Drosophila melanogaster: one gene and its partner. The protein of the gene in region 1 purifies or fractionates together with the protein of each later gene. This does not show direct contact. Each region holds a gene or a part of one and is shown in the gene's direction. Other genes may lie near its edges. The genes, in order: Mondo and bigmax.

Region 1 (5,093 bases):
GGTCCCAGTACAGCTCCTTGGGCAACTGCAAGCTCTCCATGGTTTGGTGAAATGTCGCGTCCATATCCAGAGTTCAAATCAGGGGTCAAAGATATGTTTTGTTTTGAGAGTATGAAATCCGGTCCGAAGAATGAGAATGGTTGTTTTCGCGGTGTGTTTTGTTGTTGTGAAAATGCCATGATGGCGCTGAGAATTAAAGAAACGAATTAATTATGATTAATTGGTTCGCTGTTCAGCCCACAGCTGTTTAATGACTTATCACGAGTCATAGTGATAATGAATAGTCGCTACCCTTTTAAAAACACTTTTAATCATTTTACTGTACCTCTTATATTCAAATTAATCTAAGGGTAGACTACATTCATTGAAAACTATGAAAGATAAATGTATTTTTAACATTTTATTACCAAGAGTCAATATTGCCGTGTCCACCACCAAAAAAGTTGAGATTAAGCACGCAAATTTTGATTTTAATTTTCTTTTTGAAAACTTCTTTCTCCCCTCTAGCTTAGTAATATAGTAATTATGTTTTAACATTTTAGGTAAATATAGAATGCAAGGGTAGAGCTGCAATCGCGCAGCCGGTTTAAACAGCTCTGTCCTGGGCTGTGTCCGCTTGGGGTAGTCCTTACTGTGGTGAGTCATCTCATTTTCGCACGTGCAGGCGACTTGCAACGCACATTACTCAACTCCAGTCGGCGATTGCGTCAGCCAATTTCTTTACCTTTACCAGGTGGCATGCCCCACTGAGTTTTGATTTGCCACGTTCGCCCGGTCAATTGAAAATCCATACAAGGCAATGCCACCAACACACGTGCAGCAACAATGAATGAGTAGAACGCCAAGTGCGGCAGTGTGCGTGATAAATTGCGAAATTAGCGAGAATTTAGCTTGGTGTATACTCACTTTTGATTTTTATACGTTTCCATTTTGTTGTGTTTGGGCACCTAGGTGCTGCTTGTTTTTGCTTGCGCGCAAACTATAGAGCCATCTTTAGGTTAATATAAATGCCGAAATCGTGAGAGAAAATAACAATTGAACCTTTTTGCGTTTCATTTGGAACGGTAATGAGTGTTGGAATCAGTGTTACCAGATCGGGAAATGCCTTGCTACTTTCTACTAAATAATCCCACCCCTTTTTCTCACAAATCTAAAGCGCACAAAATCATTCGTAAAGTATTATTAAATGACTATATAAAAATTTTGAACTGAACAGCAATTTCATTAAGAACCTTCTAACAGTACAAATGAAAAAATTCTCTGAAAGTATAATGTCTAATATAAGCCCGAGAAAGGTATTTAAGCAAAAGAACATGGGAGTGCGAAATCCTCTAGTCTGCTGATAAAGAATTAGGCAGTTACACTACTTTGTAACAAGGTGTGCAGTTTGAATACTTATTATTAAATTTTAACCGGAACTAATTCAATGTTTATCGATAGTTTTTTGATGTGTGATCACTAATTTTATTCTGGGTATTCTATTCTCTAACTTAAACAATATAGTGAACATAAAGGGAAAATATCCATTTTACATAATTTTTCCTAATTACTTAAGCACAACAATGTTTAAAAAACACATTACATTTGAGTATAATATATGTATATATTCTAGTTTTTCCTATTAGTCTCAACGCATTAACTTTTTATTGATGCGGTTTCAAGGTGCTGTCGGAAAAAGATATAATAGCAATTCCATAAAACTGGAAACTAATTACGGGAAATAGCCGTCCTAAATTCATTGTATTGCAATTTCGGAGCAGGAAACATATGACCTCGTATGCTGCCCTTCCCAATCTTTACGTTTGGGGTGATTATGCTCATTCTTGCGTTTTTCGGCTCGCAGCTTTCAGCCATTTTTAGGAAGAGGGTGCTGTTTATCAGAGCCACCAAATGCTTGACAACCCTGATGGGATGGTGAGGGCTCGCTACCCGCAATAGGTTAATGTGTGCTATATTGTGATTAAACTACGTAGAAGCTTTGTGTTGCGCGTGTGTGCGTGGTATTGGTAGTCCGTCGTGCCTGCTAACTGCCCGTGTTTCTGCTATAGGGGGCAGTTGCAGTTGTACCGAAATTGTGGTGCGCGTGCATGCGCGTGTATATGAGTGGGAACGGAAAAAGGCAAAATGCAAAGGCAGCGCTGAGCCAGAGGTCAAAAGTGCAAACACAGAACTGCTTGTGGAGTGCATACTCTGGATGGCAAGGCCGAATGCCAGGAGTCAAATCGACTGAGCTCCATATAGTAATAGTGGAGAGGGGGACAACATTGCTGCCTGACATCTGCGCATATAGAAGAACACGTACATACATACATATACATATGTATGTACGTTTTCCTAGCTGATAAGCAACGCTAGCGAGGTAGGGAGAGAGAGAGATTTCGCGTCAGCTGTTCATTGTTGTGTTGTGTGCGGCGCACAGGTTATGTGCGTTTCGCAGCTTCGTTCTCCGATCAGTTCTGTTTGTGGAATGAAACCGATCGTTCTGCGCTGGTTCTGCCCGCCTTGTTGGCCTTCCATCAGATCCGCGTGTGTTTACGAGTAGTTGGGGCTTCACTATCTGTTCAAGGAGCTACAAGCGGCCACTGACGTCTCGTTCTGACGTCCGTATCCCCAGCCAACCCCGCCGCGATTGTGTGTGTGTGTGTGTGTGCGAAAATTGTTGTTATTGTGCTGTGTGACGCATATAACGGCAAAAGCGGGGCGTGTTTGCCATTAGAGAAGCTTCGCTCCGGAAAAAGCAACAATTGGACAGGTGTCGATGACGAAAAGCTGAAGGTGTCGGGCATTGTAAACAAATCAAAATCTTAAAACCGTGCTATGTCTCTATCAAATAATCGCTTATTTTAGTAATTTAGTTAATAGAATGACAAGGACAAACACTAGATGAGAGAATTAATAAATGTGTTAACCACGAGGCAAGACAAAACATATTTTTTTTTATAGTCTGCGAACGTTTACATATTTTGAAATGATGGAAAAACCCCATCCAAATTAAAAAAGGGTCAGCACCAGCTTTTAAAAGCCTTTACTACGCGAGAGACATTAAAAAACCATTAAATGTGCCCTCGCCATATCGACATAATCTGCAACCGCCAAAATTTTGGCTCAACAGTAAACTATTTGCATAGGCATCCCCTGGCACCTGTTGAAAATGATGCTGAATAAACACGAGGGATACCAACGCACAAGCCAAATGTTTCCCCACCAGCAGCACCAGCTGCCTCAGCTGCACCAGCAGCCTTATCTGCAACAGTCTCTGTGCCAAAACTTCCAGCAATTGCAGTACGAAACGGGAGTAGGTGCTTCGGCGTCAGGGTCCGCCGAGGCTACGGCAGACCTGCTCAAGGCGGAGCGGGAGTCTATCCACTCCGGCCAGTTTATGGTCTCGCACTTCGAGGCAGAGGAGGCGCAGGACGACCTAGAGGATGACGGCGAGGTGAAGATGCTAGACCCTGAGGACCCCGGTCTGGGCAAGCCGGGCGAGCCAACCAACACATGTCGTGACGTGCAGCTTTACGTACCCCAAACAGTGGCCCACTTCAGCGCCATGGACCAGGAGGGCGACGAGAGCAGCATGAGCATGGTGACCTCCCACCTGGAGATAGAGACCTCGCTCACCAAACTCTTCAAGTGCATGAATCTGGCCTACAGGTGAGTTGAAGACTCGTACTCGAGACCACAACCGAACACCGGGGCCCTGAAGATTTATGAAATGTTGTTTCCCGCTTGTTCACGCGTTTCGAGCGTGATAACGCTCAACTGGCCAACGAAAATCCAGCAAACGAAAAAGCTTGGACCGCTTCGGTCCCATAATCGCGGCACATGTTGAGACGTGACGTCGCTGCTCAGGTTACTTTGGCCCCACATTGCCTCAATCGCTCCTCTGCCACCCTTTATACCCCTCTTTCTGTTACTTCTCCCATTTCTGCAAACGACAGCGCAATCATAGAGAAAATATTAAAGTATTGCCAAAGCAATATCAGAATGAATTAATTTTGCAAAATGAAATGCAATTTGCTTACAACATATTATTATCTGAGACCTTATCAACTAAAAATCTGAATTGTGAAGCTATTGTTTTTTGTTTTTTTTTAAAGAACGAAAAGGATTTGTTTAAAAAAAGTGTTATACAGTTTTAAATTTTAAATTTGTTTGTTATAATGATGGTTTTTAGTCACTATAAAACAGCTACGGTAGTTGTTTGTATGATCCATATATATACGCGTATTGTTAATAACTACGAATTCGGATTTCCTTACATTTTTCACGACCATGTGATTTCATTGTTGTTTTTCACTAAGTGACTAAGTGCTCTAGGAGAGTGTGCGTTCTCCTGGATGCGCTTTAGCGACTACAATATACACGAGGAAAAATATAAATTTAAATTTATAACATGCTTCATTTTGCACGCCCGCCGGTTGTTTTGATGGTGTTAAGTTTCGATGGAAAGACATTTCCAAACGCTTTTTTTGTCTAAATAACATATTAAAAGAGAGAACAACGTAATTGTTATACGCTTCTACTCTACGATTCTAGATACTAGATTAGTTGAAAAGTATGCAACGGGCGTTTCCGACTTGATCAGGATCTATAGCTGGGTCAATCTAGCCATGTCCGCCTGAACGTCGAGATCTCAGGAACCCTATAAAATCTAGAAGTTTAGCCAAGTTAAAACCGCAACTTTGTTTAGCCATGTTGCCACGCCCACTCTAACACTAGCTGAAAACTGTCACGCCCACACTTTTGAAAAACGTGATCATATTTTTTCACATTTTTATTAGTCTTGTAAATTTCTAACGATTTGGAAAAAAATTGTTTTCCACGCCCACTCTAACGCCCTAAACCGCCCAAAACTGCCACGCCCACATTTTTGAATAATTTTTTCATTTTTTAATTAGTCTTGTACATTTCTATCCATTTACAACAAAACTTTTTACCACGCCTATTCTAACGCCCTAAAACCGCACAAAACTGGCACGCACACATTTTTGAAAAATTGTTGGATATTATTTCATAATTTTAAATTTCTATCGATTTTCCAAAAAAACTTTTTGCCACCACCACTCAACGCCATAAAGCTGCCAGTCTTTAGA
Region 2 (3,697 bases), on another chromosome or scaffold:
GGACGTGTGATACCGTGGCGGCCGACTTGTCGAAGCCATGCAGCGAGCCCACAATGTTGCCGTTCCAGTCCACACGCACGACAGTCGTTCGCTTGGGCGCCAGCACAGTGATGCTCTCCATGTGTCCCACGAAGTGAACGAATCGCTGCGAGAACTTGTTCGGATATACGCTGTTCAAGTAGCGGAAGGGCAGCTCGAACAAAGCCAGCATGCGGGCCAGGAACAGGCGCACGCTGGGGAAGCGAGTGAACAGGGTGAAGCCGTTGGGATGCTCGCTATCCGCGCTCTGGACCAATGGCACCCAGATGCCCTCGGCGTCGGGTGTCAGGTTATCGGGCAAACCGGGCAGTCCGTCGACGAACACCTCGCTCTGACCGGCCTTCGCTCCCTTCAGGTGATACTTTGTCAGACGCATCGCTCCGGTTTCGGCTACCACGATGAAGTCCTCGTTGGGACTGAGGGCCAATCCATTGGCGAAAGCCAGTTCGTCCAGCAGCACCTCGCTAACATTCTTCGAGCGATTGTATTTGAAGAGACTGGAACGTAGAAGAAAGCAAAGGCCGTTAGAGTAACCATAAGACCAGATCGAGAAACCGGTTTGCGTTCGTCTTACAGTCATACTTCTGTAACTTGTCCCTTAATTATAAGAATTAAGCTAACTTCAGTAAGCGTGGACTCTTAATTGAGATTAATTAAGTGACTCCCTCGATTCCTCCGCTACAAACATTTGAAATAATCTTAAATGGGTCACAAAACACGTTTTATAAAGAAATACATTGTAATGGGGTCCCACTGTAGCCCTATTCCGAATAGCTATCACTTTGAATTCTAGCAATATTAGACAGTGTCGCTATAATTTGCGATGAACTCACCGGCCGGAGGGGTTAGCAAAGCTGGCAAAGACGAGGTCTTCGATGGTGAAGTCCGACGAGGAGTCCGTCCAGTAGACGTCGCCCTCTTTGCTCACGGTCACGCCGTTGAAAATCTTGGCAGGGCGGTTGATGGACTTGCCGGCAAGCTCCTGGGCGGGCGAGACCAGCAGAGTCTTCTTATTGGTGCCCAGGTCCACCTGCCACAGGCCGTAGTAGGCGTCGGCGATGATGAGGTTGTTGCCCTGCGTATCAAAGGCCAGTCCCAGCGGACGGCCGCACCGGGACTCCTCGTAGATGTCCTCTGCAAGGGGATTACTATTATAAAATGAAATTCCCTTTATAGGACTCGAAAATACGCACCGCAGGGCTGGCCGATCTTGGTGACATGCGTGACATGGTTGGACGTTAGCTTGATGACCTCACCGCCGTGGATGCCGGTGTAGATCTCGTTGTTGCGGGCTATCAGGCACTCCGGGCCGTAGACCCGCCCCTCCAGCAGTCGCTCCGCTCCCTCCAGGTGAAAGTTCGATTCCAGCGCACCCTTCAGGTCTTTGGGCGGGGTCACACTGTACGAAGTGGCGATTTCTCCAAGGATTAACACGGGAATTACGTCAATTGAAACGGGCGGCACTTACATATAGTCCTTGAAGGGGAAGGTGGTGCGCGGCGGCAGACCGGGCATTAGGATGATGAGGAGGAAGAAAATCATGAAGTTCATGATCCTCACGCGCAGCGCATATAGCAGGCCCATGATTGATTCCTTGTGCGTCCGCCGATCACAAATTACAGCCCAAAAACCCGCTAAATTTAAGCAATAACCCCGAAGAAAGCGACACGACGGCAAAGTTCAACAAGAAAAAAACGTAAAAGTCATCATCCGGACCGGTAGAGGTGGCCGAAATATCGATATGACTATCATTCGTTGATTGAACGTACCACATCTTACACTCTGCTACAAAAATTAATTGTATGCAGTTTCTAAAAACTATGTTATTAGGGATGCAAATTATAACAAGCATAGTTGGTTGAATAACATCATAATTAAAGTACCTGTTAGCCTGGTACCTGATAACTGTTTTAAAAATTCCTTAAAACTATCGCACAATGTTGAATGTGACCATCAGATACCGAAGGCTTTTCGCGCTACCTTGCGACAGTCACACCGCTGCTAGTGTTTTTGTTTTGGGAATTCCAAAACGTCGCAGTTGACGATGAGCGATAATAACAACGCGTTGGCCACCAAGGAAGACGTTTTCGGCATGGAGCACGACCAGGACCACACCAGCAAGCACTACTCGCGGTGCAGCAGTGCGGGCAGCACGCACACTCCGAACTCCTCGGCGCACAATTCAGGTGGGCGAACGCTGGTCAAGATCGGTCACGCTGATCGGTCAAGAGTGCGGGGCGGGGGCAGCTGATAAAGCAGTGGCATTGAATTACTCGCTATCAGCAGCATTTTATTACATTGTACTCATGTTTCGGTTCTGTATCGCAGACGACGACGACGATAGCGGCGATGCGCGCCATTCCGCGGCCGCCAATTCCACGCTGAGTTACAAGGAGCGGAGAAGGGAGGCGCACACCCAGGCGGAGCAGAAGCGGCGCGATGCCATTAAGAAGGGCTACGACAGTCTGCAGGAGCTGGTGCCGCGCTGCCAGCCCAACGACTCCTCCGGCTACAAGCTCAGCAAGGCTCTGATCCTGCAGAAGTCCATCGAATACATTGGCTACCTTAACCAGCAGAAACTCAAGCAGGAGGACGAGGGATCGGCGCTACAAAAGGAGGTAACAGCGTTACGGATCATTAAGAACGGCTATGAGAACATGCTACAGCATCAGCAGGCGAATCCAGGGCCGGAGGAGGCACGACTCACCGATGAGGCCAAGTTTCAAGTGGTAAGTATGGAGCGCTTACCTCTATTATAACCTCTAGAATCGCCACCCACCACCCTCCTCCGTAGTTCCAGGCCATTATGGAGGAAATGTTCGAGACATTTCAACACATACCCATGGAGAACTTTAAGCAGCTGACCACCGGCATTATCCCCTGGCTGGAGGAGCACTGCAAGCCGCACATCCTGCGCAACATACTCAGTCGTACCTTGCAGCAAATGGCGCAGGAGGCTATGGAAAAACAGGAACTTCAGGCCATGGAGCAGGAGTCGAGCGAGGGTTTCAGCTGATCGCGCGGTTAGTTCATATTCTCATTGGTTATTTTAGAAATCCCTGTTTGGTAGATACTTTCGTTACGTTTACTGCGTACAAACATTAAATGCGTCATTTGAATAGTTGTAAAAGCGTTGACAAGGAAAGATAACTTTTTGGCTTAATGATTAAAGATTAGATAAAACTAGATTTGCTAATGCTAGCCGAGAGACTCGACGAGAGCCGCTTTATCCGCACTACCCAGCTGGCCTAGCAGTTCCAGCAGCACATTCCGTGTGTACGGCTTGAAGCGACGAACTCGCTCAGTGACATCCAGCGCGGTGAGCAGCGCTTCAAGGAATCCCTCCAGACGTCCCGCGCTCCACACATGACGTGCTTCGTGCTTTAGTTTCAGCACGCCCGATGTCAGCGTGTAAATCAGTCCCTCGTAGAAGTTCTCCTCCTCCAGATTCGCGGCCAACTTGGCGCTGGCCAGCAGCGCCGCCGGCAGATCGCAGCGGAATTCGTGCGACCGCACAAAGCAGGTGGCCGCCAGTTGGCGGACCTGATCACATTTGTGCCGCAACAAATGCCAACTGAGTCGGCGGAAGCGAATGAGCAGGGGATTTGGCTCTTTCCCGCCCGACGTACGCAAGTGCTCGACCTTGGACAAGAAGGCC

What was found.
Region 2: the proteins of Mondo (region 1) and bigmax purify together in Drosophila melanogaster (affinity purification with western blotting, with the first as the bait; one study listed by BioGRID). This does not show direct contact.

The regions. Positions count from the first base shown.
Region 1 is NT_033779.5:21,306,846-21,311,938, reverse strand, and holds the start of Mondo (mondo), read left to right. Parts: upstream 1-1,888; 5' UTR 1,889-2,000; exon of another isoform or gene 2,001-3,000; 5' UTR 3,001-3,151; coding exon 3,152-3,651; intron 3,652-5,093. Other genes in the region: crc (cryptocephal), read right to left, coding at 1-64.
Region 2 is NT_033777.3:27,286,856-27,290,552, reverse strand, and holds bigmax (bigmax), read left to right. Parts: upstream 1-2,026; 5' UTR 2,027-2,083; coding exon 2,084-2,225; intron 2,226-2,367; coding exon 2,368-2,768; intron 2,769-2,833; coding exon 2,834-3,055; 3' UTR 3,056-3,187; downstream 3,188-3,697. Other genes in the region: Hmu (hemomucin), read right to left, coding at 1-536, 873-1,173, 1,233-1,438, 1,508-1,623; CG3368 (uncharacterized protein), read right to left, coding at 3,238-3,697.